Linked DNA regions of Oreochromis niloticus. Each later gene encodes a partner of the first gene's protein in a complex. Links are inferred from orthologs where the notes say so. Each region holds a gene or a part of one and is shown on either strand. Other genes may lie near its edges.

Region 1 (9,627 bases):
TCTGTCAAACATGGTGGAGGCAGTGTTACAGTATAGGCATGTACAGCTGGAGCTGGGTCACTGGTCTTTATTAGTGATATGACTGCTAAAAGAAGCAGCAGGATAAATTGTGAAGTGTGCAGGGCTCTACTCTCTGCTCCGATTCAACCAAATGCTCCAAAACTGATCAGGACAGTGTTTCATGGTGCAAATGGAGACTACAATTATACTCCAAAAGCAACCCAAGAGTTTCTCAAGGCAAAGAAACGGATATTCTTCGATGGCCATTTCAGTCACCTGAGCCTAACAGAGGATGCTTTTCAGTTACCAAAAACTAAACTGAAACCAGAGAGACCCACAAACAACTGTAGGGGACTACGGTAAAGGTCAGGCAGAGCATCGCAAGGGAGGAAACACAGCATTTTAAGTCAAGTCCAGTCAAGTCAAGTGGCTTTTATTGTCATTTCGACCATGTACAGTGGTACAGTACAAAGTGAAATGAGACAGCATTCCTCCGAGACCCTGGTGCTACATATGACATATAACAGACAAACACAGGACTAGACTACGTAAAAGTGCAATGTGCAAAAAAATAAACAAGACAAGACAGTGCAACACTAAACACAACGATATAGACACAACACAGTGCAATAGAAATGTGCAAAATGCTGAGTATTGTGCAAAAATAACTTGGTGTCTGTAGGGGTGTCTGTGTGTGTGTGTGTGTGTGTGTGTGTGTGTGTGTGTGTGTGTGTGTGTGTGTGTGTGTGTGTGTGTGTGTGTGTGTGTGTGTGTGTGTGTGTGTATGAATGTGAGACACTGCATATGTGTCAGTCCAGTCACTGAGTGTTCAGGAGTCTAACGGCTGAGTCACTGACTGCAAATTACTTTAATCCAAGTACTGAAAATTGTATTTAGATTTAAAATTATCTTAGTACAACCAATTACTTCTGATCCCCTGAAATTTCTAAACAGCTAATGCAAAATTTTTGTAAAACCCCAGTGTGCAGGAACAAAACTACAAAAACTGTCATTGTCCAACAACTTATGGACCTAACTTTATATTATAGAGCAGAGATATCAAACTGATTTTACATAATGGGCCACATGCAGACCACTTTGTGTAAGAGTACATTTAATGCCTCAGAGATCTCAATATAGGAAAAAAGAAGTGCAGTTTTAACAATATGTCTCAGCTTTACAGCATAATAAGAAATGCTGCTGTACTTAATGAAAGAAATCTCTCAGCAGATTAAATTATTAAAGTTCTGTTTGCTCATTGTCCAGGCTGTCCTGGAGAAAGCTTTTGTCAATACACAGAAAATGTCCTATTTTATTTGTTTACCTTACTGTGGTCTTCTCGCAAAAACCAGACATGTCTATAGTAGATAGTAAAAGAACAGGAACTTGTGTTTATCTGTTACTTCATTATTGTATTATGAATGATTGTGGGAAAGGTCTTTATCACTAGAACAAGCTGTAAAGTTTATGAAAATACAGTTAAAAGTCAAAAATGTATGCCCTCCTTCACATTTTCCAAAGACATTCAGTGGGCCGAATTGGAGTCTTTGCCAGTTCGATTATGTTTGACTAAATTCTATTAGCAAGTATTACTGTTTAGTCCACTGCGCCACAGAACTCCACTGTTTCCCTAGAAATGTATCAATATACATAAAACACATCAATGACACACACTGTGGCAGTAGTTTAGATTAGTTTACATGGGCCTTCATGGGCCAACTAAGCTTACAAGTTAACTCAATACAACTGAAATGCTGACCAGAGCAAATTTTATAAAACCTGGTTTTTGTTTGTTGCCTGTTGTTATTTGTTTTTACCCCCTGAGACACCACCAGTCAAGTATCGGTATGTTTTTATATAGCTTTAAGGCTTGTTCTTATCTTTTGTCATTGGTCAAATTCGCACTTTTACAATTTCTAAGCTATTTCATATTCTCTACGACCTACTTTTCATGCTCTCATTTCCAGCAAGTAGAGCTCAGGTGGCATTTCCTGTACATTAAATATACTACAGACCAGTTTTGCACCACATCTAGATCACTTGATTATGTTTTTGTAGTGTTCCTCAATCTTCCTCAAGATCCAGCCAGCTAAGTCTACCTGTTTTATGAAATTACAAATCCTTCAAAATTAAAGCTACATATATGGGAGTTTTTAATAATTTATGTCTCTGGTAGGAAAAACAAAAAAGGAAACAAACTTGGCTTTGGGATGTGAGTATCTTTCCATCTTTTGTGTTAAGTTCTAATGAGAGAATCGTTCTTTATGAGTTACTTGCACAGAAACTATGTACATCTGTTTCCTTTTATAGCAGGTTATAAAAAAATCTCATCGTACACATGAAAGTTTGTAATGACATGCTGTCAGTGACAGGGTGTGTTTGGCACATCAGACCACAGACGCACATCAAAAGTAAAGATGTCCGATGGCTGGAAACATCTCAAATACTTTGCATATCTTACTGCTGACGTTTCAAAGTAAATAAAGCCAAAAAAACCTGTACGGCTTTCAGTTTGTGCCATGCTGCTAGAGTGCAGGTCTGGATGTATTTGTGCAATTTAGCATCATTTGTGTGCCTGTTACCTGATGTGGCTGTCGTTAGTGGCGTCCTGTGTGCGTGCAGGAAGCATTTTACTGGCTCCACTGGTGTCCAGTGAATGGAGGGTCCTTTCATCCTTATTTGATGCATTGATGAGGCTTTCTGTAACCTGGTTTGGGTGTGAAATCTGCGTGAAAAAACAAGTTGCAGTGTCACTTCAAGATTTCTTTTTGATGATTATATGACAAAACACACTACTCACCTCAGGTCCCTCCTCACTCTTCTGGTCTCCTATGCTTCCTCCTTCTTCTTCTTTTCCCTTTTTTCCTTGTCTGTCCTTCCATCGATCCTTGAGCCTCTGCGTCCACCTTCTGGTTTTATTCTCAGATGATCTCTGTTTCCTCCTCACGCTGCTGTTTGTTGTTTTTTGACTGTCTGTGGCAACCTGCGAATCTTTGTTTTCTGCCATCGCTCCAAATCCTCCATTTCCTACGTTTAACGCTTCATTGTCTTGACCTCCTGCGAAAGGGTCTGTGTTTTTCACGGCCCACAGGTAGGCCTTAGGTTTAAAGCCCTGCTCCTGGTTCTCATTCACTCCCATGCTTTGGGCAGCATGTGCGTTAGGAGGCATGCTTCTTTTCATTGCAGAATTGCCAAAACTCCACTTCTCAGTATCAGTCCTCTCAAAGGAAGCATCCTTAAGTGATGTGGTAGGAAACAGCTGCCCTGTTACTGTTGGGGTGATCGCAGGCTGTGTCGCCTGTCCCATAACCCTGCTATCACCAGTGTCACCATCACTGTTGTCTTTCTGGGAGGGGAAGGAAATAAAACCCCTGTCCACCCCACCTCCATGACCGGGCTGCTGTAGTTGACCAAATTTGAAGCTAAAGTTGCTGTCTGCAGCAGGGCTCCTGACCTTATTCGAAGGGATACCATTAGTACCTGGGCTGCTGTTTTCTGGTCCAAGTGTGTGCCGGTGCCCCTGGCCCTCTCTTTCCGACTGCAGCCTCAGTTTCTGCAGCATGGACTGCAGCAGGGCGTGGGAGTCTGCTGGATTAGGTGACTGAGACATCTAGGAACACAACCTCTAAGTCCTCTAAATCCAGGAGTCGCAGAAACACGTGTCAACACCACAGTGAAACCGGATAAACAAGGACGGACTCTACGCAAGTAATATAATTCGTCGCTTTACAACCAGCATGACAAGAGGAAAAATACCTTTGTGTAGAAGATATCACTCTTTGGTCCAGTTCTTGTTAGAAAGACACCTGTTATGGCTGCTTTCGCCTTTCTGAATAATCCAATCCCTTTCCATGACAATGTAGTTGCTTCATAGCAAATATGAAGAAAGATCCACCTCTTCCACTTAACCGTCCAGAGGTAGAAATCCTTCTTCTTCTTCTTCTCTGTGTAAACTGCTGCTTCTTATGCTGCCTCCACTAATCCTCGATCCTCAAGAAGAGCAGCAGAAGTCTTCTTCTCTTGTTCTGCATCAAAGAGATATAAGCTTTTGTTGTTTTCCCAATTTTCAAAAGTCTCTCGCTTTTACTAAATACCCATAGTTCCATTACACTACGGGTGTTGTAGTCACACCTCTTCTCCAGCAGCCACTTATATCACTGGTAATGGGAGGGGAGACTGTGCACGGCTGCGTTCCTCAGATCTTACAAACTGAAGCAGACCAACAAGAAAGACCAGTGAGGTGAGATAATTGTTTGCTGACTCTAACTCTCTCCCACTGTGTGTCTTTCTGCCCATCTTTGTATTTTGCCCTCCCTTCCTTCTCATTTCTCTACTTGGCACGCTTGCTCACACAAGTGCACACACACCCTCTGTGACCCGTAACTGATAATTATAGGGCGTTCTTTAAGAGCGGCCGCTATGTATGCGCCTGCCAAATTAAAGATATAGGAAAATGTCTGCACTGAGCTTTGCAGTAACCCATTTTATACCAATTCTGTGAAAAATGCTGTCACAGAGTTCTTTGCTACTGTTGTTGAAATAAAGTAGTAGATTCTCCAAACATGCAGTGTACTTCAGCTTGGAGAACACCATGCAATATTTCTTATAGGTTTGTTAGCCACCAGCTATATTGTTCCCCACTGCAAGTCATTACAAGATGCTGCTGCCCTGATAAACTCTTAACTGTTCTAACTACATTTCAGCCTACTAAAATGCATTTTAAACCATTTGTCATTACAGTAATTGTACTGCCTTCTTTCTGACTGAAGGTTTAGACTATAAGATTAACTAGGTACACTACAGTACTTGAAAAGTTACTTTCCTATTCTGACATGAACTTATTTAATAATAATCATGTTGCTGATCATTAACTAAAGTTTATATAACAATTAGTAATAATATACTTCTTTATCCACTACATTAATACCTTATTTTTTGTTTTTTCGTCACGCCATCTTTATATATTTCTAACCGGGACGATCACAAATAACCAGCCACGAAGATGCAGTGAAAAAAAGACAAGTGGCAGAATGTTCACTTGGAAACTAAGTGCGCATGTGCACTGTCAAACTCACGCCCCCTTTAAGTTGCCGTGTATCTGATTGGTCCGCACTTTGTAAGCGGGTAATGGCGGCGTAAACAACGCTGACATCGATGAAAGAGACACTGCTTAACCGAGAAAAATAAACTTAGACTGGAAATAAACGGAGTATGCTTTCGGTAGGAAGATTTGCTCTCGGTGTGGAAACGATTAAAACTCCGTCTTGTGTACTTCTCGGTGATGCTTAGCCGCTCGTTTTGGCTAACTTTTAGCCAAATGTGCTAACTTAGCGGAAAAGTGAGTTTGCAGAGATGCACTGTATCGTAACGGGAGGAAACGTGAAAGGTAGCAGACATTTCCTGCATATTAAACACAGTCTCTAGCTAGAATATGTATCATTAATTAGTTGTCGCTAATAATTATCTTGTGCGTGTGTTGGTGGGTGTGTCTGTACCGTCCAGTACTGGCCAAAGCCGTCCATTCTCTGTCCAGGATCGGCGATGAGCTGTATGTTGAGCCTCAGGAAGATGGGGTGAGCTGTTCTGACACTGACTTGCACACCATCACTTCCTCCTACAATGCAGATAGGCTTGTTGCTTCCTGTGGGTGCACACTTTGCGTCAATGAAAAAAGTTGATTTGTTGGTCTCTCTCTCTCTCTCTCGTAGCTGGCCCTGCGGTCTGTGAACTCCTCTCGGTCGGCTTATGCTTGCTTCCTGTTCGCACCACTCTTCTTCAGCAGGTGCAGAATACATGCCTGTGTTTATAAATGGCATCTCTGTGTGAGAGAAAAAGAAAGCGTGTATATGAGCTAACTTTAATCTGCCTTTTATACCTCTGTTTTTCTGTGCAGGTACTCCACTACTAGTGGGGATAACTTCCGCTGCAAGATGGCAATAAAGGTGTGAGAGAATTAGATAAGCTTCTGTTTTTCAAGGCGTTATACAGTCTGGGTGTGACATTGATTACATTTGAGTAGATAATGTGGTTCCCAAACTTTCATGATGACATAACACCCAAAGTTATTATAGCGTTCTTTTCTTTAGGAACATTTAGGATATGCCAGAGGTGTGTTTTTCACAAGTTCAGATTAGCTTTTACTACAGATATGCAACTTTGTGAAGGTATTTAAGTTCCAGTTACAATCTTGTGAAAACTAGCTTTCTCAGGTCTTTGTTACTTACAGTTAGAACTGTGAAAAACTAAGTACACCCCATGATTCAGTAGCTTGTAGAACCACCTATAGGAGCAATCACTTGAAGTTTATGAGTCTCTTACATTGTTTCAAAGTAATCGTTTTCTGTTTGACTTTACCAGTGTCTCAAATCTTTGTGGTGGAGTTTTGGCCTACTGTTCTTTACAGTGTTGCTTCAGTGCATCACAGTTTGCGGACATTCATTTATGCACAGTTCTCTTAAGGTCCCACCTCAGCAGTTCAGTTGGGGTCAGGTCTAGAGCTTAATTATTTTCTTTTTCAGCCATTCAGTTGTAGATTTGCTGTGGTACTTGGGATTCATGTCCTCCTGCATGATGCTGTTTGGGACAAGTTTTGACTGTCAGACCGATGTCCTCACATTTCAGTCTGGAATACTTTGGTAAACAGAGGAGTTCATGGTCAACTCAATGAGTGGAAGGTGTCAGTGTCCTGTGGCTGCAAAACAGGCTCAAATCATCACCTTCTCCCCATCATACCTGACAGTTGGTATGAGGTGTTTGTGCTGATATGCTGTGTTTGGTTTTCACCAAACAGAGGTCTTGTGGTTTCTTCAGTTGCAAGCCGAAGATGTGCTGCCATATTCTTTTACAGCCAAGAGAGGCTTTCTGCTGGCAACCCTTCCAAACAAGCCAAACTTGTTCAGTCTTTTTCTAATTGTACTCTCGTGAACTTTGACATTTAACTGCTAACTAAGGCCTGTAGAGTCTGAAATGTAGCTCTTGGATTTTTTTTTTTTTTTTTTTTTTTTTTTTTTTTGCAGTTTCTCTGTTCACTGCACAGTCTGTCACTGGTGTGAGTTTGCAGGGACGTCCACACCTGGAAGGATTGACAGCTGTCTTGAATGTTTTCCACTTGTAATTAATCGTCCCCACTGTGTTCAAATTATTTGGAATTCGGTTTATAACCACTGTCAGACTGCTTTGCATCAACAATGGCTTCTTTAAGATCACTGCTGACGTTCCATCCTTGGGATTGTGTTAACACACACCTGAATGCTCCAGACATGCAAACTACTCACATTTTGAATTTGATTACAAGCACCTAGCAGTAAGACGGTACTTAGTTTATCTCGGGATTGCATAGAGTCAGTCACTTGACTGTCACGGATCTCACTAAGCATGCTTACCAAAGGCCCCTCAGGCAGGTTGTGATAAGTATCACTTCAGTTACTTTTCTTTTGTTTTCTAGTCTAGTTTTAATTCTTTTTAAGCTCACAGTTAATTTTAAATAACTACATTGACCTTGCAATAAACCCCAAAGTCCCATCACAAAAAGTTCAACCACTCGATCACAAAAGATGTACTGAAACTACAGCTGCCAGTCTGATTTTTGTCTAATAGTTTGGTCAGGTTTGCATTCATGTGACCACTACCAAAATGTGAAAAATGTCAATTTTAACTTACTCTCTATATATTTTTCTTCTCCTTTTCTCACTGGTTTACATTCATTTTCAGTCTCGGTTTGCTATGTTAGGGAAATGTGGCTGATAGTTTCTTGATTACTTTGATTTTAAACATACTAAAGATAAACATCACACTTTCTTATAATGATTTTTTCTGTTCCTTGTTTTTTTTTTCGTTGTTGCTGTTTTTCAAATTAACTGCATGATGGCCGTACTTGGGCCTCCCTGATGTAACTACAGTTAGGAATAGCAGATCTTATTCTTAGGATTGAGAGTGTAGTCTTGTATCTGCTGACAGCTTCAAATGCCTCCTTTCCTGTCGTGTTACCACCCTTCGGTTGTGGTTATCTGTGTTCAAGTTTTGCAAAAACCTCACAGCTTCCTCGTATTAACAGTTGTACTTAGCAGTTATATCAGAGACTGGATTGTGTGTCACTTTTCAGAAACGGCAAACATATTGATTTAGATATCATTTGAGTGTCACTAAAATGTTTATTCGCATTGATTGCTACCAGAGTGTGTCATTGCGTATTGATAAGCATTATTTCCCCCCTGTGTTTCAGAGTGTACAGTCTGTGTTCAGATCTCTGACAACTTTGGAGAAGACAGTGGAAAAGTGTCACATTGATCTCGACAAACAGAAGGACCGTCTCACCTTCACCCTGCACTGCAAGCACGGTATCAGTGATTCACTTCATTATCAGATCATTTAAAGTGTTTTCCATAGATGATTTAAGAAGGCTTACAACTCATTCAGGCATGTAAAATGGTGCTGGTGTCAAACCCAGAGATGAGGGAACACATCCAGTTCTTACATCCTTGCATTGACTTACAGATAAATATAAGTCTTTATAATTCTGTATTTATAATACAAGTAGTTATCATTTATAAGTCTGTACTTACACTCTAATAGTCCACCAGATACTGCAGAACCCAAATATATTAGAGATAAGTTGACTGAGTAAAATGTAGTCTGTCAGGCCTGCAAGTCACTGCTGCACAGAGCTAAAACAAAACTTCTATAATCTCTTTGAAACTTAGAGGTGCCTCAACTGTAGCTATTTTAAATGAAAAACTACCCTTTTTCCTATGGCTTTTACATGTATTTATTAAACTATACAGTACTGTGCTAAACTCTTGAGTCACTCCTCATTTCTTTATATTTTGCTAATAAAATAGGAAATAGGTGCAGGGATTTATTGAAACATGCAAACATACATGGAAATACAGTATATCAGGCAAAAACTGTATAATTGTAACAAGTTAGAAAGTCAGTATTTGCTATAAGCATCTTTATTCTTCAACACAGTCTGAACCCTTAGGCAGCTTTCTTGTTGTGTCTTTAAGTAGTCTTCAGGAATAGTTCTCCAGGCTTCATTCAAAGGTCTTATTTGGATGTTTGCTGCCTTTTGTTCCGTTTTCCGTCAAGATGGTCCCACACTGCTTTAATAGCATTGAGGTCCGAACTCTGGAGAGGCCAATCCACGACTGAGAGTGTGTTTTTCTATCCAAGTATGCTTTAACAGCTTTGGCAGTGTGTTTGGGATTATTACCTTGCTGAAAAATGAAGCCATTGCCAATCAGACATTTTTTAGTTGATATTGAGAGGTGGATAAAAATCTGATGATACTTTTTTGGGTTCATAATTCAATTCAATGTTAATTATATAGCAGCAAATCATAACAACAGTTGCCTCAAGGCGCTTTATATGGTAAGATAAAGACTCTACAATAATAAAGAGAAAACAGAACCTGGGTCCACAGAAGAGGGGCCTAAAAGTAAGCCTGCAGTCTGAGAGCAGCAAGCTCTATTGGGGTGATATGGCACTATAAGGTCATTAAGATAAGATGGGGCCTGATTATTCAAGACCTTGTATTTGAGGAGCAGGATTTTAAATTTGATTCTGGATTTAACAGGGAGCCAACGAAGAGAAACCAGTATAAGAGAAATGTGCTCTCTCTTTCTAGTT
Region 2 (9,856 bases), on another chromosome or scaffold:
GTGGTTCATCTTCCTAATACTTTAAGAAATCTCTGTCTGTTCTTCTGCTGTATTGACAACCATTCCTATGAACGGCTTTAGAGTTGGTGGGAACCTGATTAAGTGTGGTGCCAGACTTGACCATCTTTGACATTAATAAATACCCCATACTATTACCCTTAAATGTAACCATGACAACAGCAAACACTTATCCTGACCTACACCTAATTTTACTTTACACCATTTCCTGTTTCGGTGTTAATTTAGCTAGCTGCTGGCTTCAACTACTTATTTATCATGGCACAAAGACAGTGACACTGGCCATCATTCAACTTTCAGAACAAGAGGAAATTGTGCAAAAAGATGTGTATCCACAAACTATCAATTTGAAAGTCTCTTGTTTGATCACGTCTCACCATGTGACTGTTTGCGTCTCAAATAATTAAAGATTTATTCCTTTTGTTTAAAGGCCAAGTGCCTTACACAACTACAGGGCTATAAGCCTTTGAACAAATAACAGAAGTAAAGCCATTAAGGACAGCCAGCCCACTGTTGCAATACTGGAGAAGAATGACACGCATAAAACGCTGCATGAAAGTGCTACATATGTAACCAAACCATTAGAAAAAGCAACAATGTTCCACTTTCTGAACCTGCAAGTGCTCAATGGGTTCAAGTCACATGACTTTCATCATTAAAGGGTGAACATGAGGTTTCTTAAAATGTCAAACAACAGAATTTGTTGAGAAATCTCTGTGTGTCCTTCTGTAGCCGACACAGCACTCCAAGAGCACTAGTTATTATAGATTACCATTCAGTAGTTTGGTTCAATATAGCAGCAACCTGATATTTTAGCTATTTGTGTTTATCTTTTTGAGCAGCAATTAGAGTGTAAGGGCAAATACACACAGGAAGAAACTAACACCAGTTTGTCAACCAGAAATCTCAATGTTCAAATGGACGACTTGAAGTGATAATTACTCATGACCGACCCACTGACAGCAGCAAATTGCTGTATACTTGGACAGGCCTCAACTTTTTGCCTTAATACAGAGGACACTATTTCTCAGTCTTATTTTAGACAAACACTAAGTATGAATGTAAAATGTTACATGTGTCTTCTGTTTCTGTTACTTGGTAGATACTGTAGCTATATTTATTTTATGAATGAAAAACATCACAACATCAGTAGATTAACATGTAACATCAGTCAATCAGTCATGGTCCACCTGAAAGCGCAAACAAGGTGCCTTTCGTTTTCAGTGCTGTTTACAAAGGAACTAAACGTTAACGGTTAACTGGTCTGATCACAGCCAAGCAGATCAGCAGCCCTGTTAGATCGTTGCTCAGGTGCTCAGGTTGCTCAGGATTTAAGATTAAACCTTACAGTTTAATCTTAAATCCTGGGTGTAAATCTTAAAAGGACTTTCTAACTAGAAGGCTTTGTTCCCTTGTGGTGGAGGGAACAAACCATTATTAAAAACATCAGTGCATCTCAGGTCTGCAACCCAGGAAAATTCACTTATGTCAATATGAATGTTTCCTCCACTCTGTTTGCCTTCCTGACTTACTGCTTGTTTTGCCGGTTTTGATATGTGAAGGTTTCATCTGAGTGATTTAAAGTGTCACATTGTGTATAAAAGTTATTTATCGTAAAAGTACAGTAAAGTGGTGTTTAGAAGTCATAGCCTCAATTATTTGACTTAATAAATTACTAATTAAGTAGTTGAAATTAGTAGAGTGATGCCAAGTAAAAGTTATGTGGACACCTCCCCCCACCCCTTTGTGTTGCGAGGTGGGGCAATTGTTTATTGGGCTTGCTATGGAACATCCTAGATATGTCTGATGGGACTAATGTGCTAGTAGGGTAGGATGTCATCGGGGATTGTGGTTGCCATGGATGGGTGTGATTGGTTTGCAACAATGTTAATGTGAGTGTCTTTTTAAACTAACATAAATGCTTGGAGACAAAGTAGGACACTGCAATGACTGTTTGCAGTTTTAATGTGATGGCTGACAGGCGTATTGAATTTCAGGTGTGTGTGCCTGTGTCTAAGGCACACACAATAAAAACAGTGTTCCTTTTTACCTGCTGGTGGGACTGATGAAGGTGAAGGAGATGAGCTGGTTCCAGAAAGGGTCATTCTCCGATATGGACTCTGTGCCCACCAGGGCCTTGAGGCTGGGATTATCGGACAGGTCACTGACCTGACTGGTGTTGGCTCCCATCTTTGCTGACTGTGCTCAGCCAGACTCGCTGCTCTTCACTGCTTTTTCACCAGGCATATGCCAAACCTGGGACAAAGAAAATGCTTTAATCTTTGGAGGCACAGACAATAAACAACTGAGCTTCAAATTAACTACAGAATTAGCAAATTCATTAAGGTTAATGTGAGAATGAATGAGCTTCTGTTTACATTTATACATCTCCTACACTCAGATCTAAATAGGAATAGACAGAGGCCATCCTTGTCGCTTTGGGCTTTAAGAAACAAGGGCACCAGGGGTGCCAGGGATGACTGTGGTTCAATTGGACAGGTTCGATCCCTGGCTACTGCAGGCTGCATGGGGAAGACACTGAACCCAGAGTTGCATTCACTGGAGTGTAAATGTTTGATTAAAAGCACTTAGACATATAAAATGTGCTTGTATGAATATGTGTCCGTGTGTAAAGTTGTGATGACACATGCTGTATAAAGTGCTCTCAGAGCTTAAGCACAAGAGTAAGAGCCAGTTTACATACACTCCTGGTTCTTCATGTTCGTGCATTACAAAAACTGTAAAACAGATCTCACCAACTCAAACACAAACTCATCCTTGAAAGCCAAAGTTCACAGCATCACAGCAGGACGACACACACTGAACCAGGACATGACTTTTGTTTTTTTGTAATGACACACCTTAGACACACAGGTGTAGTCAGCATAAGTGAAGTGGAGTATAGCATTTACAATATTTGCATAGCAGTGCTAAACCATAAAGGACAATTTATCTTTCTCCAGCAAGAGCTAAAATTCCGTTTTCATATTCATTATATTCATTATATTATATTTACTTTAAATGACACTGTTTAAAGAATTGTTTTAAAATCTACTTGCACGACGTTAGCTTGACCATACTGATTTCAAGTGCAGGAAATAGCCTGCCGCTTAGCAGTTTTCATAGTAAACAATATAAACTCAAAGTCCCACATAAGAATGAAATAGGCGCTAATAAATTTCTCATTGAGGAGTGCTTTGGTTTAGTCAGTGGTTAATAACGCATATACAGAGAGCAGCCAGCTGACCGTTCAGCTTACCTGTCATAAACGCTTCTCTCAGCTGTCCGCGGCTCTGCTGACTCCCAGGACCGTTCAGGGGCGACTACTGTTTTTTAAAGTGACCTGAAGTTTAGTCCAGTTGATTTATTAAGTGCGAATGACAAAGGAAAAGGTCTGAAATTGTTTTGTAATTCAGACAGTTAAGTTTACTCTACATACTCCTTTCCTCCATGTTTTCCACGTAGCCACCCTGTGCGTAATGACGACATATGGGCGGTTACTACGTCTTCTTCGTGTGTTCGTCCAGTTGGAAGCTAAATATCAGAACTGCTGCCCTCTATTTTTTTTAACTTCTCTATTTTACATTTTTTAATAACTAGTGTATGCCCATACTATAGCATTGTTTCGGCTGTTCGCAAACGAAATCACTTTCAGCAAAATATATATTAATAAGATAAGATGAAAAAAAAATTGGTGCAATACATGCTGTTTATATGTTTAAAAAAACTTTTATTTTAGGCTATTGCTAGGGGATTTTAAGCATATACATTTCAAATTATGGGGTGTCCTGAGGCATCTCGGAAAATTGACAGCCCGGTCAGCATCATGGTGAACGTGTTTGAATAAGGGGAAGCCAAGTTACACAACAGAACATATGCAGACACAGTAACAAGTCAATAATAGCATTCACTTCACTTGTCAATGGCTTAAATGATGTGGCTGATCAGTGTAGAGTATATTCCAATACTTTAAAGATATTAAATATTATTAACTATATTTTTCCTTTTTGAGCAATGTGTGAAGACAAATGTTTTCCAGTTGCTTCTATGTCTGGAGAAATATGACATAGACATATTATGTCATAAATATGACATAAATATGTCTGTATAATAACATGGAACACTGTTGCTGAACACTGTTACTACCGGCAGTAAACACAAATGTCAGGTCTAAATTATTAGTTTATACTTACTTTCGTGTCAAGTTGCTAACATTCTTTCATATTTATTTTAATTATTTCAAAGTTATATGAACAAAACAGCTTTCTTAACAACTCAAATATGAAGAGAACACATTATTCAAAATGAAGAAAAAGCAACGGAAGCACTTAAGAGGTCTTGTTTATTTTATTCATTATTTATGCTTAAAGTTTAACTTACAAAATCTATATCATTCAATACAATAAACAGATGTATCAATTCATGATTAACAGAAAATATATCAACAAGATGGATGACAAAAATAAAAACAAGCTCCAAATAACAACTGGAAGGTTATAAAATCCAATTAATTCCAAGATGCTTTATAAGTTAATTTATAGTTTCTCTAGAAGAATGAAATATTTACATGGTTTATGAAGCATTGAATATATTTTGAGGTGTCAGTCTGTCTTCTTATCCGTTGCTATAGTAGATCCATTAGCAGTGGCCTCGCCGTTGCTTTCAGGCTGAAAAACATGAGTGAAAATTTTTTTAAAACTTGCAATCAAATAACTATGAAATTTTTACGTTAAAAATGACACAACACAGAGACCCTTTGAGTGGCTCCTATTAGTTTTACTATCATTTTTAGATATATTCGCTCTATATACCAGAGCTGGGAAATATTTCCATAATTATTTTTAAGTTTCTTAATGAAAACATCACAAAAATTATCCATTTACTTACCTTGCAAGTCCCATTACTCTTTTCACTAACTTTTTGGTCATTAGTACTGGTCTCCTGCACTGCCTTTTTGCTCCAGAATATATTAATAATGGGTGAAATAAAAGGATAGAGATAAGGCTCCAGGAACCTCTTGTAGACCCACAAGAGGACAGGAATCACAATACAGGGAATGCACACCATAGCTGTGGTTTAGACAGGGCAGTAAAAATGGAAAAACCTGCAGTAGAGAAAAAAACATTGTGAGTTGTAAAAAAAATACATAGTAAGTTTATGGTTGGTTGTTGAGATATTGCTACAAGGTTCCTGTAGAGTGATTTAATAACATTTCATTAATTTCTTAACATGTATACAATAGTTAAAAAACAAAAACAAACAAACAATTAAACAAACAAACAAAAACGACTAAAACCCCCCCAAATCAAACAACAATCCAACATACACTTTAAAACACGAAAATAAAGCAAAAAAATATATTGGTTGAAATGACAGAAATGTGTACACAATTTGAAAAGTAAAGGAATCTTTCTTTATAAATAGGTTACACAAATTTAAAAAAGAAATTTATGGCATATTTACAACAATTACTGCCTACGTTTATTTTAAACTCTTCTGGTGTATATAAGTTAGAAATGACTGTACTGAGACGTTTATTATTTTGTTTGTTTTATTTATTCTGGCAGCTTGGGTCCTCCACACAGAGCGACCTGTCAGCCATACTGACGTTTACAAGGCTAACCTGAGCTACCTTAGGTAACGATAGAAGGAAGCTTTCTTTCACACGACTACACAAATTACTCTGTTCATGATTTCCGTTGTTGTGTGCTGTAAATTGTTTTTCGATCATTTTTAACTTGACAGTTGACACACTATTGGTTTCATGCTCTCTAAGCTCAAATCAAACAGTGAGCTAAAGCTAGCGTCCTATCACACCCCGGTAGCTATAACGATTATGAAAAACTGTCACCAAAGTTCAAACATAAAAATAAAAAGATTTGAACTGTTACACGAGGAAGACAGAATAAAGACTCTCACCTCTGCCAATCACAAAATGATGTTGTCACGCACTACCGATGGGCAGAGTATGTTTTATGGCGAAATATCTGGAATGTTGCTGACGTAAGACGTACTTTAACTCCAACTTCCGTAGAAGAAGAGCGACAGGCGGAAGTTGTTCACCACCGGGCGCCTTTCTTCAAAAACAATCACAAGAACTGCTGCATAACAGCTTTATAAGAGACACGAAGGTAGTTACAGTTTTTGGGGGGAATATTTTAAATACATTAATGTATAGGAGGATCTAGATAGTACAGATGTAAATTATATTACCGTTAATTTCTGTTTTACGTCACTTTAAACTACAAGCGAGCTACAGAAAAAAAAAAACAAGCTTAGTACTTCAGTAAAAGCAAAGTGACAGTTCGGTGTGTGTGTGTTGTAGAGTCGACACATATCACTTTGGCGTATTAACATTCTGTCCGATTTAGAATATAAATGATACGCCATTCAACAAAGTTTCAACTTCATGCGCATGTGATGTATGATTGGAGCGGCTAATTTGATGTGTTTACCTTTACAGGGAGCTCACAGCGGGTATCTGTGCGCCTTTTTTTCAGCGCTACAATGCCTCTCGCCACTCAGTCGCAGGGTGATGACGAACAGTACGTTTTAGTGGCGAGTTTGGACAATGCTCGCAATCTCTCCAACATCCTGAAAGCAATCACCTTCAAAGATCACGCCATCTTCACAGCTACAACCAATGGCCTTAAGGTCACAGTGGAGGACTCGAAATGTCTGCAGGCCAATGCCTTCATCCAGGTGTGCTTCTCTTGTATTTTGTTAGTGAACATACTTAAATGAGCAGGTATGTTTACGTTGTGTTTAATCCTATAATACTGATACCTTAGTGAAATTGTACTCATGTCCCCCAGGCTGAGATCTTCCAAGAGTTCACCATAAGAGAAGATCTGGTGGCTTTTCAGATCAACCTCACTGTTCTCCTCGATTGCCTCAATATATTTGGTGGAACCACAACACCAGGTAAAATTTATAAAAATAAACTAATAAAAAAAAAACCCCACCTGAGATGTGACTCGGCATGCTTTATATCTGTTTTTTGTGATGTTGCAGGTGTATCAACAGCCTTGCGGATGTGCTACAGGGGGTATGGGTACCCTCTGACGTTGTTCCTGGAGGAAGGTGGTGTAGTGACCGTGTGCAAGATTAACACACAAGAACCAGAAGAACCGATTGACTTTGAGTTCTGCAGCACTAATGTCACGAACAAGGTTAATTTCACTTTTTCTGTTATTAAAACTCGAATATTGAATATACAAAAAAATCAGATGGGAAACGATAAACTAATACAAATGAATCAGTTCAGAAATCACAGTTTCTCTGGTTTCCTTACTTTACAAATCCAATTGGGATAACAGTATCTGCAGGTGTTAGAAAACAGGAAACACAACTCGGTAACAACTGATGTATCCCTGGCTCTTTTGTAGGTGATCTTGCAGTCAGAGAGTTTGAAGGAAGCCTTCTCTGAACTGGACATGACAAGTGAAGTGCTACAGATTACCATGTCCCCCAGCCAACCATACTTCAGGTGTGCTGTCCTTACTGTACTTTTTCTACAGTATTGTGCTGGTTTATGATTACGTTGCTAAAGTTAAAAAAAATAACTGTGTTTAAAATGACTGTAAAGGCCTTTACACACCAAGAGCATTGGGAAAAAAACCTGACGAAATTCATAATTTAATACATAACATATGTAAACACTGAAATGATAAAAACAGAGACTCTGGTTTCAGAGCAACAAGGAGAATTTCGTGGTTTCATTCAGAAGTTGAAGCTGTATCACGACCGCTTACTTACATACATCTTTCCGGATGTCATTGGGGTAGTTTGAATTCTTGTGGGCAGAGTTAGGATCACATCTGAGGGGACAGAGAAGTAATTTCGTAGAACTGATTGTGTGTCTGTATTAAAATTGTATTATTTACTTTTGCTGCATCACCGGTTTTCAGCACCGGTGTGTGTTTTAAACTACAAGCACACTTTTGTTGCCAAATGCAGTGGTCTGATTGGCAGATCTCTTTATTCGCGTTCTGAAAATTGAAAAAAAGTCCGAAAAATATTTTCAATGCACAAAATATTTAAATGAATTCTTTTATGAGTCTGGTGTGTAAAGGTCTTAAAAGAAAAGTCATTGAAGTTATCCACTGGGGAAAGTATTTGGGATTAGACATAATCCACTTCTTGGAAACTAAGTCTTCTTAACGGTAAAGGTGAGGCATGTTTTATGCTGGATTGTATTTATCGGATTGAAGCTAACACTAAATATAATGTATAGCTAAGCTAAAGGTAGGAACAGTGACTTTCTTCAAGGATTTGTTGTAACAAAATAGATCTTTTTCCTGTCATTCATTATCAGTGTGCTGAGGTAGTTTGCAGTGTAACTTTGTCCCCTCTGCATTATTTTTGAAAGTGCTGCTCTTTTTACCTTTCATTTATATTATTATTATTTGATTTGTTGATTTTCTAAGGTTGTCAACATTTGGGAATGCTGGAAATGCTCATTATGATTACTCCAAAGACTCGGACATGATGGAGCTGTTTAAGTGCACCGAGACACAAACGAACAGGTCAGCACACGAACACATGCACAGATTATTTAGACTGTAGAGAACACAAACTACCCATAGGTGGACTGGTAGGACAGGAAGCACCAACACAGCGACTAAAACCAAATGTCATACAAAGTAGTGAATGACTAAAGTGCTCTTTATCTCCTGGCGTCTACCAGTGATCTTTATCTCGCAACTGTCTGTGACTGACATTACTCTCATTTTCAGTTTTGACCCTTTTACATGCCTGTTCACGGATGGCTGCCGGGCAGATAACTCTGATAATAATGAAAAATTTGAAGATGTTGACATGAATGTTTTTATCCAAGTCCAAAAATTAAAAAGTTATAACAAGATATACACATCTTTCCTTTGAGAATTATAAAATTAGTATATCTGTTCAGTCACTGTGTCAAATATACCCTTGGACAACAAAGTTGACGTATATCAGATTCTCCAGCATCAGCTGGGTAATGCCAACAAACTAGACTGTAAATGACCTCCAGCAATGGTGGAAGTCATTTTTAATGAAACATAAGAAATGCTGGAATATATTTATATTAAACTGTTTAGTATTTTATTTTCTTCAAATCTAGTTTGTTTTATTTGATTGTAATTCTGAGCATTTTATGGCTTATGTTTTGGAAAACTAATAATAACCAAAGGGCAGTGATAATATTTTTTATTATTAACAAACTAAGCTTTGAAAATATTGACACTCACTTGTGTACACACACTAATAATGAGTGCCAGTGTGAACTCTGATAAGTATACACTCACCTTGTAGGTGCTCTAGAAATTCCTGGAATTGGAAATACTTCACTCAAGTAGACTCCCATGGTTTGACCTTGTGTTGTATACTTGTGTGCAAACTGTAATTGCCAGCATGGCTTCTAACCAGAGGTCTAACTGGCCACAGGACGTTGCAGCACCTGCATGCAGGTGTTTAGGATTTTAATCATTTCCCCGGTGACCCTTCGTCCCCTTTACATCTCCTTAAAAGCAGACTTGTTATGACTTATGTAATAGAGCTTGTTGACTGGATACATTTGACTTGTAACTGAATAAAAAGCACAGAAAAATAATGACATTTACAACTGCAACTGGATATGCCGACACTAATGAGTCAGCACTCCTGGATCCAGTGTTAAGTGTTTTCTTGGCCTTTCTATCGTATCATGTTAAAAATCTCTGCAAGAGAAATAGTTTAGGCATAGTTTCAGTGTATCCCCGTGTAATGTTTTGCTTGTATTCTGACTGCAAACAGATACAAGATGTCCCTCCTGAAGCCGTCCACCAAAGCCTTGGCTTTGTCCTGTAAAGTCTCC
Region 3 (9,794 bases), on another chromosome or scaffold:
CCCTCGGCTTGCTGCCGGTACGTTGGGGTTTTTCCCGGTGGACGAGAGGGTTTGTTCCCTGCGCCTTAGGGTCGGGGAATGGGTCCTGACTGTCATCTGCGCTTATGCGCCGAGTGGCAGTTCAGAGTACCCAGCCTTCTTAGAGTCCCTCGGTGGGGTGCTGGAAGGTGCCCCATCTGGAGACTCTGTTGTCCTGCTGGGAGACTTCAATGCTCACGTGGGTAACAACAGCGAGACCTGGAGGGGCGTGATCGGGAGGAACGGCCTCCCTGATCTGAATCCGAGCGGTGTTTTGTTATTGGACTTCTGTGCAAATCACAGTTTGGCCATAACGAACACCTTGTTCGAACATAAGAGTGTCCATAAGTGCACGTGGCACCAGGACGCTCTAGGCCGCAGGTCGATGATCGATTTTGTAATCGTATCACCAGACCTGCGACCATATGTTCTGGACACTCGGGTAAAGAGAGGGGCTGAGCTGTCAACTGATCACCACCTGGTGGTGAGTTGGATCAGGTGGCGGGGGAGGACGCTGGACAGACCCGGTGCACCTAAACGCGTAGTGAGGGTGTGCTGGGAACGTCTAGCAGAGGCCCCAGTCCGCGAGATCTTCAACGCACACCTCCGGCAGAGCTTCAACAGCATTCCGAGGGAGCCTGGGGACATTGAGTCCGAATGGACCATGCTCAGCGTCTCCATTGCCGAAGCTGCTGCAGTGAGCTGCGGCCGCAAAGTGGTTGGTGCCTGCCGTGGTGGTAACCCCCGAACCAAATGGTGGACACCAGGGGTGAAGGGAGCCACCAGGCTGAAGAAGGAGTCCTATCGGGCTTGGTTAGCCTGTGGGACTCCGGAGACAGCCGACAGGTATCGACAGGCCAAGCGGAATGCGACTCGGGCAGTGGCTGAAGCAAAAACTCGGGTGTGGGAGGAGTTCGGAGAGGCCATGGAAAAAGACTTTCGGACTGCCTCGAAGAGATTCTGGCAAACCGTCAGGCGTCTCAGGAGGGGAAAGCGGTGCTCTACCTGCACTGTGTATAGTGCTGGCGGAGCGCTGCTGACGTCGACTGAGAAAATTGTCAGGCGGTGGAAGGAATACTTCGAGGACCTCCTTAATCCCACTGACACGTCTTCCGAGGAGGAAGCAGAGTCTGGGGATGAGGGGAATGACCCGCCAATTTCCGGGGGCGAGGTCACTGAGGCAGTTAAACAACTCCTTGGTGGCAGAGCCCCTGGTGTTGATGAGGTCCGCCCCGAGTTCCTGAAGGCTCTGGACGTTGTAGGGCTGTCCTGGTTGACACGCCTCTACAATGTTGCGTGGAGATCAGGGGCAGTACCCCTGGACTGGCAGACCGGGGTGGTGGTCCCCATCTTTAAGAAGGGAGACCGGAGGGTGTGTTCCAACTACAGGGGGATCACACTCCTCAGCCTCCCTGGGAAAGTCTATGCCAGGGTTCTGGAAAGGAGAGTTCGTCCGCTAGTCGAACCTCAGATACAGGAGGAACAATGTGGTTTTCGTCCTGGTCGCGGAACACTGGACCAGCTCTTCATCCTCTCAAGGATACTTGAGGGTGCATGGGAGTTTGCCCAACCAGTCTACATGTGTTTTGTGGACTTGGAGAAGGCATTCGACCGTGTCCCTCGGGGTGTCCTGTGGGAGGTGTTGCGGGAGTATGGGGTGTCTGGCCCATTGCTACGGGCCATTCGATCCCTATACAACCGTTGCAAGAGTTTGGTTCGCATTGCCGGCAATAAGTCGGACTCGTTCCCGGTGGGTGATGGGCTCCGCCAGGGCTGCTCTTTGTCACCGGTTCTGCTCATAATTTTTATGGACAGGATTTCTAGGCGCAGCCAAGTGGCGGAGGGCTTTTGCTTCGGTGGCCTCAGAATCTCATCTCTGCTTTTTGCGGATGATGTGGTTCTGTTGGCTTCATCAGGTGAGGGCCTCCAGCTCGCACTGGAACGGTTCGCAGCCGAGTGTGAAGCAGCGGGAATGAGGATCAGCACCTCCAAATCTGAGGCCATGGTTCTAAGCCGGAAAAGGGTGGAGTGCCCACTCCGGGTCGGGGATGAGTTCCTGCCCCAAGTGGAGAAGTTCAAGTATCTCAGGGTCTTGTTCGCGAGTGATGGGAGAAGGGAGCCGGAGATCGACAGACGGATTGGTGCTGCGGCTGCAGTGATGCGGACGCTGCACCAGTCCGTCGTGGTGAAGAGGGAGCTGAGTGTAAAAGCGAAGCTCTCAATTTACCGGTCGATCTACGTCCCTACCCTCACCTATGGCCATGAGCTGTGGGTAGTGACCGAAAGAACGAGATCGCGGATACAAGCGGCAGAAATGAGCTTCCTCCAAAGGGTGGCTGGCCTCTCCCTTGGAGATAGGGTGAGAAGTTCGGCCATCCGGGAGGGGCTCAGAGTAGAGCCGCTGCTCCTCCACATCGAAAGGAGCCAGTTGAGGTGGTTCGGGCATCTGACAAGGATGCCTCTTGGGTGCCTCCTGGGTGAGGTGTTCCGGGCATGTCCCACCGGGAGGAGGCCCCGGGGCAGACCCAGGACACGCTGGAGAGATTATATCTCTCGGCTGGCCTGGGAACGCCTTGGTGTTCCCCCGGATAAGCTGGAGGAGGTGGCTGGGGCGAGGGAGGACTGGGCTTCTCTGCTTAGGCTGCTGCCCCCGCAACCCGGCCTCGGATAAAGTGGATGAAATGGTAAATGGCCTGCATTTGTATAGCGCTTTTCTAGTCCATAGGACCCCAAAGCGCTTTACACTACATTCAGTCATTCACCCAGTCACACACACATTCACACACTGGCAATAGCAAGCTACATTGTAGCCACAGCTGCCCTGGGGCGCACTGACAGAGGCGAGGCTGCCGTACACAGGCGCCACCGGGCCCTCTGACCACCACCAGTAGGCAAACATGGGGTTAGTATCTTGCCCAAGGATATTTGGCATGCAGCCAGGATGCAGCCTGGGATCGAACCACCGACCTTCTGATTAGTGGCTGACCTGCTCTGCCACCTGAGCTACAGCCACCCCAGGGTGTGTAGATGAAGATGGATGGATGGATGGATGGATGGCATCAACGGTACAGTACTCGCCTGGTTTACCTCTTATCTCTCTGGCCGCTCACAGTTTGTTCAATTACTCCCTCACAGATCACGATATACTCCAGTTAGGCGCCAAATCAAAACTGACCAAAGTCTCACCCAGAAGTTTTTCATTATCCATTGATAACTCTGTTGTCACATCCTCCCCTCAGGTTAAGCGTCTTGGTGTCATCCTTGATAGCACTCTGTCTTTCACAGCACATATAAATAATATCACTTGGTCTTCCTACTTTCATCTCCGTAATATTAACCTCCTTCGTCCCTCACTCACACCACACAGTATCACCATACTTGTCAATGCTCTTGTCACATCTCGTTTAGATTACTGTAACTCTCTTCTCTATGGTCTGCCTCATAAATCCCTCCATAAATTGCAGTTAGTTAAAAATTACAGCTGCTCGTATTATTTCCAGAACTAGATCCACTGAACATATAACACCTGTTCTTAAACAGCTCCATTGGCTTCCAATTCACCTCCGTGTCAATTTCAAGATCCTGCTTCTTACTTTCAAAGCGCTTCATAACCTCGCTCCTCCATATCTATCTGATCTTCTCCATACATACTCACCCCTTCGTACACTCCGCTCTTCTTCAGCTTCCCTTCTGTCTGTTCCACCTGCTCGCCTGACTACCATGGGACTCAGAGCCTTTAGTTGTTCTGCCCCGAGACTTTGGATGCACTTCCACTTGCTCTACGGACCACACACTTTTAAATCCCATCTCAAAACCCATCTATTCAGAATTGCATACACCTGATTCTGTCTTAGTCCATTTTTACCTTGCTCAGCTTTTATACTTTCATGCCAGTTTGTTGTTGTTGTTGTTTTTTTACCTTATGTCTAAATTTTATTTTGCCACATTTATTATATTGTATTGTTGCTATTCTTCTTGTGCTATTGTAAGGTGACCTTGAGGGCCTTAAAGGCGCTTATAAATAAAATGTATTATTATTATTATTATTGTTTTTGCAGCTGACTGTGATCGACTGAGGTGTTTTTCAGCTGATAAAGAGACACAAATATTTTACCTCCTTATTTTTAGAAACACGTTCAAAGAAAATCACAAATGATGTGTGTCAGCGATAAAATGAACTCAATTCAGAAAACTCAGAGACGATAAATGAGCACATGAAAAAGAACAAACATGATCACAGTGTGATGCTTCAGCAATGGGAATAAACTTGTTTCCGTCTGATGGTAAAATGTAGGTTTGTGTTAAATCTTCAAAGACACATGAGATTTACACGCCTGATGTCACTTAAATTTATATGAGAAAATGTGTCCAAATCAATAATTTATATGAATAAAAATATAAATAAATACACTCAGCGGCACTTTAGGATGCTTATTTATTTGTTAAGTATTTTGAAGAAAAATATCTTTAATTTAATGCATGTAGACAAGCTTTAGTCTAATATTCTAAAAAAAAATTAAATTAAATTAAAAAAAACATTGAAAAGTTGCCACAAAATAAGGTTTTTAAAAGTTGTTGCCTTTTTTCTCTCTGGAAGTTGAAGTTCTTTTTTTTTACAGGATTGTCTGAGTATAATTTTTCTGATAAGATCCTAATATTACCTCACAGAGTAAAAATGAGCCACAGCATGCACAGGCTGCTGTTTCTGAGGGTTTTTCGTGTTTTTATTGGTCTAGAACAGGGTGTAAAACTGTTATATAGTGACCAATATTTAACGAGACATCATATCTTTAAGTGTGAAGAACATTCTGTGTTCACCAAAAAGCTGACTCTAGGTGAAAGCTGCCAAACGGATCTTTGAAGTTATTTTCTATCCCAGTTACAAAAAGATAATGAACAGACTGAAAAGTGTGATTTCAACAGTATGTAAGTAAAAATATAGACCGCACTGGTCCGCTACAGTTTTCTGCCCCTGTACAGACCATTTAAAGGGCCCTGTTCTGGTCCCCGTGCCACATATTTAATTCTGCTGGTTGTTTTCTCCTTTCGTTGGGCGGAAAGATTAACAGTTTCCATGTGGCTGTTGTTTCCGTCGGACCGTAGACACAGACGGACCAAACAAATGAAAAAGTTCCCCGCCTGAAGTCAAAGCGGAAGATTAAATTCTGCTGCCCGGGGGAAAAATGAAGTTTCGGGGGAAAATCATCGACATCGCCTGTTTGAACCACTTCACCCGTGAGTCTCAAACATCTGTTTGTACCGAGGGCCGAAGCTAAGCTGTTAGCTTCCCTCCAAATGCTGCACAGAAACTGTGAAAATAAAAGTACACCTAATTTAAAGTTCCTGAAGCGGGACTTTGTTCTTTCTTTAACTTTTCTGACATGTTAGGAAATGTCTGTAGTTCGGTTTACAGCATGTGCTCAAAGAGCCGCAGACTTTGACAGTTTAACTGGTGGTTTGTCCTGATTAGTGTTATCTAAATTCAACGAAATCTACGTGGAGTCTTGTGCAGGGCTATGAGTGCACATTTGGACCGATTCATGAACAACCACAAAAATATCAGCTGTATGTTTATGCTGAATGAGTAATCTGTTATTTAATGGCTCTGTGGAGCTGCTCTAGTTTTCCACTTTTCATTTTTAGCTCATTTTTGTTTTTGAAAGTAAGTTTTAATGTTAAAATGTCTAGTTGTACTTAGTTTTCAATAGTTGTAGTATTAATTGTTGTTTTTAGTGTGTTTATCAGGGTCATGTTATTCAGAAGTGCAGATCAGATACCTAATTAAACTAAACTATTAACTACTATTATTAAAACTAACCGAGTCTGCGTGTGACTGATTAAATATTGCTCCTGGTTCACACCTCTGATCTTTCTCAGGAGTCGTCACCACCATCTCAAAGCTGACAAAGATGTGCGTCCTGCGGCTGACCCCGGACAACCTGTTCTTCGTTCTGTCCGGTAAAGTGGCCAACGGCGGCGTCAGCATGTGGTGTGAGCTGTCACAGGTGAGAGCCGACGCTCCGGCTTCCAGCTGCTAAGAAAATAAACTCAGGAATGAGTCTGAGATGATCAGGACCTATTAAATTATTTCAGTACCCTGATCCCGTCCTTCCTCCCCGCAGGCCAACTTCTTTGAGGAGTACCAGATGGAGGGCGTGTCCTCCGAGGACAACGAGATCTGTCTGGAGGTGACTCCGGAGAATCTGTCCAGAGCCCTGAAGACGGTCCAGAACGCCAAAGCGGTCAAAGTCAAACTGACCAAGAAGCACTGCCCCTGCCTCACCATCGCCGCCGAGCTGGTGAGAGCATCCGAGAAAAAACTCAGTTTACCTGAGAAGTCTGTCTCTGCTACAGCTCGAATTATATAGGTTTAATTTCACATTACTATTCATAATATCGGACGATACGCTGCATCTGGGGATAAGTTTATCTACGGCCAGGTCTCCGAACCAGAATCCAGCCACAGGTTTATCAAACAGTTACATTTATAATGTGGAGTGGTTCACTCCAGTGTGAACCAAGGCCAGAAAACAATAAACGCAGCTGAGGTGTCGACCAAACCCTGAGAGGAAACTAAACAAGAGTCAAATCTAGAAGCCAAAAGCAGAGCCATAGACAGCTCATATTGGCTCGTCTTGTTTTTCTGGCTGCTTTTAAAACTGGTTTAACTCATTTGAACCTTTAATCTGAGAAACCTGAGCCCTCTTCCTCTGTGCCGCCCAGCCCACCCTGTCCAGCGTCAGTCGAGTCGTCACTCACGACGTCCCCGTTGACGTCATCCCCCGGAGACTGTGGCACGAGTTCAAAGAGCCGAGCATGCCGGACTTTGATGTAAGCGAAGCTTCCGAACACCAAATCATCCTTTTTATGAGCGCTGACTTTGTTTTGTCCATCACGGGTTGTGTGTTTGTGTCACTGCAGGTCAGCATCTACCTCCCTCCCCTGAAGACCATGAAGAACATCGTGGACAGGATGAAGAACCTCTCCAACTTCCTGGTAGGAGGTTAAACATGTTCAGATCAAACACGGACTCATACAGAGAAGATCTGCAGCTTTATTTCTCTGGATTTGGGTCATTTCAGTAACAGCTGTTGCCGCGGTTACGTGTAACAAACTGCCCGGCATTTTTTTAACATGACACTAAATTCCTTTCGTTTGAAATATGTGAAGAAACACATTTTCCTGTATTTCAGCCCTCCGCCCGGCCCGATGTAGGAGGACAAATATTGGATTGAATGTGAACACGATGTTTATGTCAGCTTTTCCTGAGAAGTCAGATTTAGACATTTTTGTCAACAATGCAGAAAAAATAATGTCATGTTTAAACTCGGGCCTCATGTTACCTGCGACAGGTGACACACAGAACCTGAAGCCTTATGTCGCTTTAGATGTTTAGATGAAATATGCTGAAATATTTGGAGCGTTTTCATCTTTTTACCTGCGGTCGGACAGGAAGTGAAGGTGTTAACACCTCGCCAGACTCGGGATTTTACACGAGCGTTCACCCACTGCTGCCTCGATTGGTTAGTTGGGTTTTATAGCGCTGTGTTAAATCCTCGCTGTAACCAACATGAACTTTTCAAGAAGCCTCATTTCAGGTTTCATAAACACCTCCAGCAGTGACTCTGAAGAGTCAACTCCAAGAGGAAAACACCACCGCCACCTAGTGTTTGTGCGGTGAAATGAGTGAAATACTGACTTGTGTGGCCTTCTCAGTATGAACATGTAGATTCAACACAGGAGGATACATTTAGAATATTTTTAGTAGTTAATGATCAGTTAGTTTCATTTAGATCAATAAAGTTTCCTTTCTTCCAAAACTGGATGACCTTCAATGACATGAAAATCTAATTAAAAAAGGATTTAATGTCACAAGTTTTCTGAATCAAAGACAGAAAATTTCCTTACCAGTGAATCTGAATCATAATTCTCCTTAAAGAGACTTTAAAGTCTGAATCTTCATGAAAACTAACCAAAAAAAACACCTGAACGTTATTATTGATGTGTGTGTGTGTGTGTGTGTGTGTGTGTGTGTGTGTGTAAATGGTAAATGGACTTGTTCTTATATAGCGCTTTTCTACTCTGTGTGTGTGTCTGTCAGGTAATCGAAGCCAACCTGAACGGAGAGATGAACCTGAAGATTGAGACCGATCTGGTTTCCGTGACGACTCACTTCAGAGACCTGGGAAACCCTCCGTGGGGTAAAAACACGTTTTAGCTCCACGAGCAGCTCAGACCTGCTGACGGATGCTCCGTGATCTCTGTAGCTCAGTCAACACGTCAGATCCCTGATAACAGTTAATTGTGGGGGGCGGGGCCTAAAGCCACACCCTCCACCTGCTGCTGAGAGCCACACAGAGTGTCTCATTTATGTTTAATAATTACTGATTATCAGTATATCAGCGGGCCTGTGGTCCACACTTTTCATACATTGCTCCTCCCTCCCTTCAGGCGATGACGCCTCCCAGGATGGCGGCCCGTCTCAGAGCAGGGACCCGGAGAGCATGGTGGAGGCCAGGGTGGACATCAGGAGGCTGCAGCAGTTCCTCATGGGGCAGCAGGTCAACCCCAGCAAGGCCATGTGCAGTGAGTCTCCCCTCACATGTTCGCACTCAGGACAAAACCCACCGGGGTTTAATCCACGTCACAGTTTAATGCGTTTCTCTCGGTCCTCTCGTCCTCCTCAGACATCGTCCATCAGAGCGTCCTCCACCTGATTCTCCTGCATGAAGACATGTCGCTGCAGTACTTTATCCCCGCTGTGGCGTAGACGCTCTGCTCGGCACTCAGCGCCAGTCTGAGGAAGTAAAAATGGACTAAATGGTTTCAGGTGTTTCGTCACATGGAGACAAAGCTGACCGCGCCTGTGCTCCATCTGACGGAGGCTCAGAGTGGAGCTCACAGGCTCTCCTCCCACCTGTGATGGTGTTGGAGACGACGGAGGAGGTTTGGACTGCTGAGATAAAGAGTCTGTGTTTGTGAGACGTTTCGGTGGTTTTTGATTAAAAACGTGTTAAAGTAAAAACATTCAAATATGTAAGTTGCTTTTTTAAAAAGTGACAATAAAATAAAAACTGAAGTATAAACATTTCAGGCTGCAGTGTCTCGATGCAGCTCGCTCATCCAGGTGGCTTCTTCAGTCTCCTGTCACTTCGAGATAGCCCAGAGTGTGAACATGATAACACAGCTGTTCTGATCCTCGGCTCGGTGTCAGTGCAGCCACATGATTGGCTGGTACGGTTTGTGGTCGTTTACCTGATAATACATCCCACAGAAAACACTGTTTATATTTCCACTGCTATGCAGATGATACCCACTACAGGCACATAAAGGTCTAGATGTCCTGAAATCTTCTAGCGTCAGAAAGAAGCTATGATGGATGGGACTGTTTCTGCTGAAGCGCAGCCTTAGACCATCCTCCATCATTCCAGGACAGTTTAGCTTTGTAGAGCAGATAGAGTCCAGTAGAAATCTGCTTGGTGTGGCTGTCCGTGATTAGGTTTGTCCCGAAGTCCACAGAGCTTCCAATCACACCAGCCACATTTCAGAAGAAGAACTTTATCCTCCACCAAGAGAAGTGATGGTAACACTGGTGAACCTGGTTATCAAGCAGCCACGCCCCTAATAATGCAAACTCCAATTTAAACAGGTGAGTTATTAAAACATGTTTAATTCTGCTGTAAAGTTTCAACATGTGAGTCTATGAGGACTGACTCACTGCTGCCTCTGCTGGACATCAGAGGAACTGCAGTTTTTGTCTTGGCTTTATTATATTA

What was found. The genes of interacting proteins can lie anywhere in the genome.
Region 2: the proteins of rad9a (region 1) and rad1 are in contact, whole or in part, in a crystal structure (PDB 3GGR), measured with the Homo sapiens proteins. The link is inferred for Oreochromis niloticus from reciprocal best matches to the Homo sapiens genes RAD9A and RAD1. Residues at the interface, in NP_004575.1 of Homo sapiens: Leu76, Ser82, Val83, Ser86, Leu90, Lys92, Leu112, Phe116, Gly117, Val118, Arg119, Lys120, Thr121, His122, Asn123, Leu124; in NP_002844.1 of Homo sapiens: Glu165, Ala166, Ser168, Glu169, Asn195, Ala196, Gly197, Ser198, Ser199, His200, Leu201, Asp202, Tyr203, Pro204, Asp206, Ser207, Glu211.
Region 3: the proteins of rad9a (region 1) and hus1 are in contact, whole or in part, in a crystal structure (PDB 3GGR), measured with the Homo sapiens proteins. The link is inferred for Oreochromis niloticus from reciprocal best matches to the Homo sapiens genes RAD9A and HUS1. Residues at the interface, in NP_004575.1 of Homo sapiens: Leu157, Pro158, Pro161, Val176, Ala186, Lys191, Ala192, Met193, Val194, Thr195, Glu196, Met197, Cys198, Leu199, Gly200, Asp203; in NP_004498.1 of Homo sapiens: Thr84, Asn87, Arg90, Ala91, Lys93, Thr94, Phe110, Ser121, Ser123, Ser126, Arg127, Ile128, Val129, Thr130, His131, Asp132, Ile133, Pro134, Ile135.

Annotation. Positions count from the first base shown.
Region 1 is NC_031966.2:22,443,983-22,453,609, reverse strand, and holds the start of rad9a (cell cycle checkpoint control protein RAD9A), read left to right. Parts: upstream 1-5,116; 5' UTR 5,117-5,352; coding exon 5,353-5,386; intron 5,387-5,479; exon of another isoform or gene 5,480-5,502; coding exon 5,503-5,573; exon of another isoform or gene 5,574-5,696; intron 5,697-5,708; coding exon 5,709-5,782; intron 5,783-5,893; coding exon 5,894-5,942; intron 5,943-8,221; coding exon 8,222-8,336; intron 8,337-9,627. Other genes in the region: uncharacterized protein zgc:113229, read right to left, coding at 2,583-2,725, 2,801-3,610. UniProt on the Homo sapiens protein: Component of the 9-1-1 cell-cycle checkpoint response complex that plays a major role in DNA repair. The 9-1-1 complex is recruited to DNA lesion upon damage by the RAD17-replication factor C (RFC) clamp loader complex.
Region 2 is NC_031972.2:18,191,276-18,201,131, reverse strand, and holds the start of rad1 (cell cycle checkpoint protein RAD1), read left to right. Parts: upstream 1-5,128; 5' UTR 5,129-5,655; intron 5,656-5,937; exon of another isoform or gene 5,938-6,149; intron 6,150-6,481; 5' UTR 6,482-6,525; coding exon 6,526-6,720; intron 6,721-6,833; coding exon 6,834-6,942; intron 6,943-7,032; coding exon 7,033-7,190; intron 7,191-7,406; coding exon 7,407-7,507; intron 7,508-8,447; coding exon 8,448-8,546; intron 8,547-9,795; coding exon 9,796-9,856. Other genes in the region: dym (dymeclin), read right to left, coding at 2,069-2,208; c21h18orf32 (UPF0729 protein C18orf32 homolog), read right to left, coding at 4,620-4,685, 4,906-5,085. UniProt on the Homo sapiens protein: Component of the 9-1-1 cell-cycle checkpoint response complex that plays a major role in DNA repair. The 9-1-1 complex is recruited to DNA lesion upon damage by the RAD17-replication factor C (RFC) clamp loader complex.
Region 3 is NC_031974.2:189,813-199,606, forward strand, and holds hus1 (checkpoint protein HUS1), read left to right. Parts: upstream 1-5,066; 5' UTR 5,067-5,201; coding exon 5,202-5,253; intron 5,254-5,895; coding exon 5,896-6,023; intron 6,024-6,140; coding exon 6,141-6,317; intron 6,318-6,741; coding exon 6,742-6,849; intron 6,850-6,939; coding exon 6,940-7,014; intron 7,015-8,119; coding exon 8,120-8,219; intron 8,220-8,469; coding exon 8,470-8,604; intron 8,605-8,705; coding exon 8,706-8,788; 3' UTR 8,789-9,104; downstream 9,105-9,794. UniProt on the Homo sapiens protein: Component of the 9-1-1 cell-cycle checkpoint response complex that plays a major role in DNA repair. The 9-1-1 complex is recruited to DNA lesion upon damage by the RAD17-replication factor C (RFC) clamp loader complex.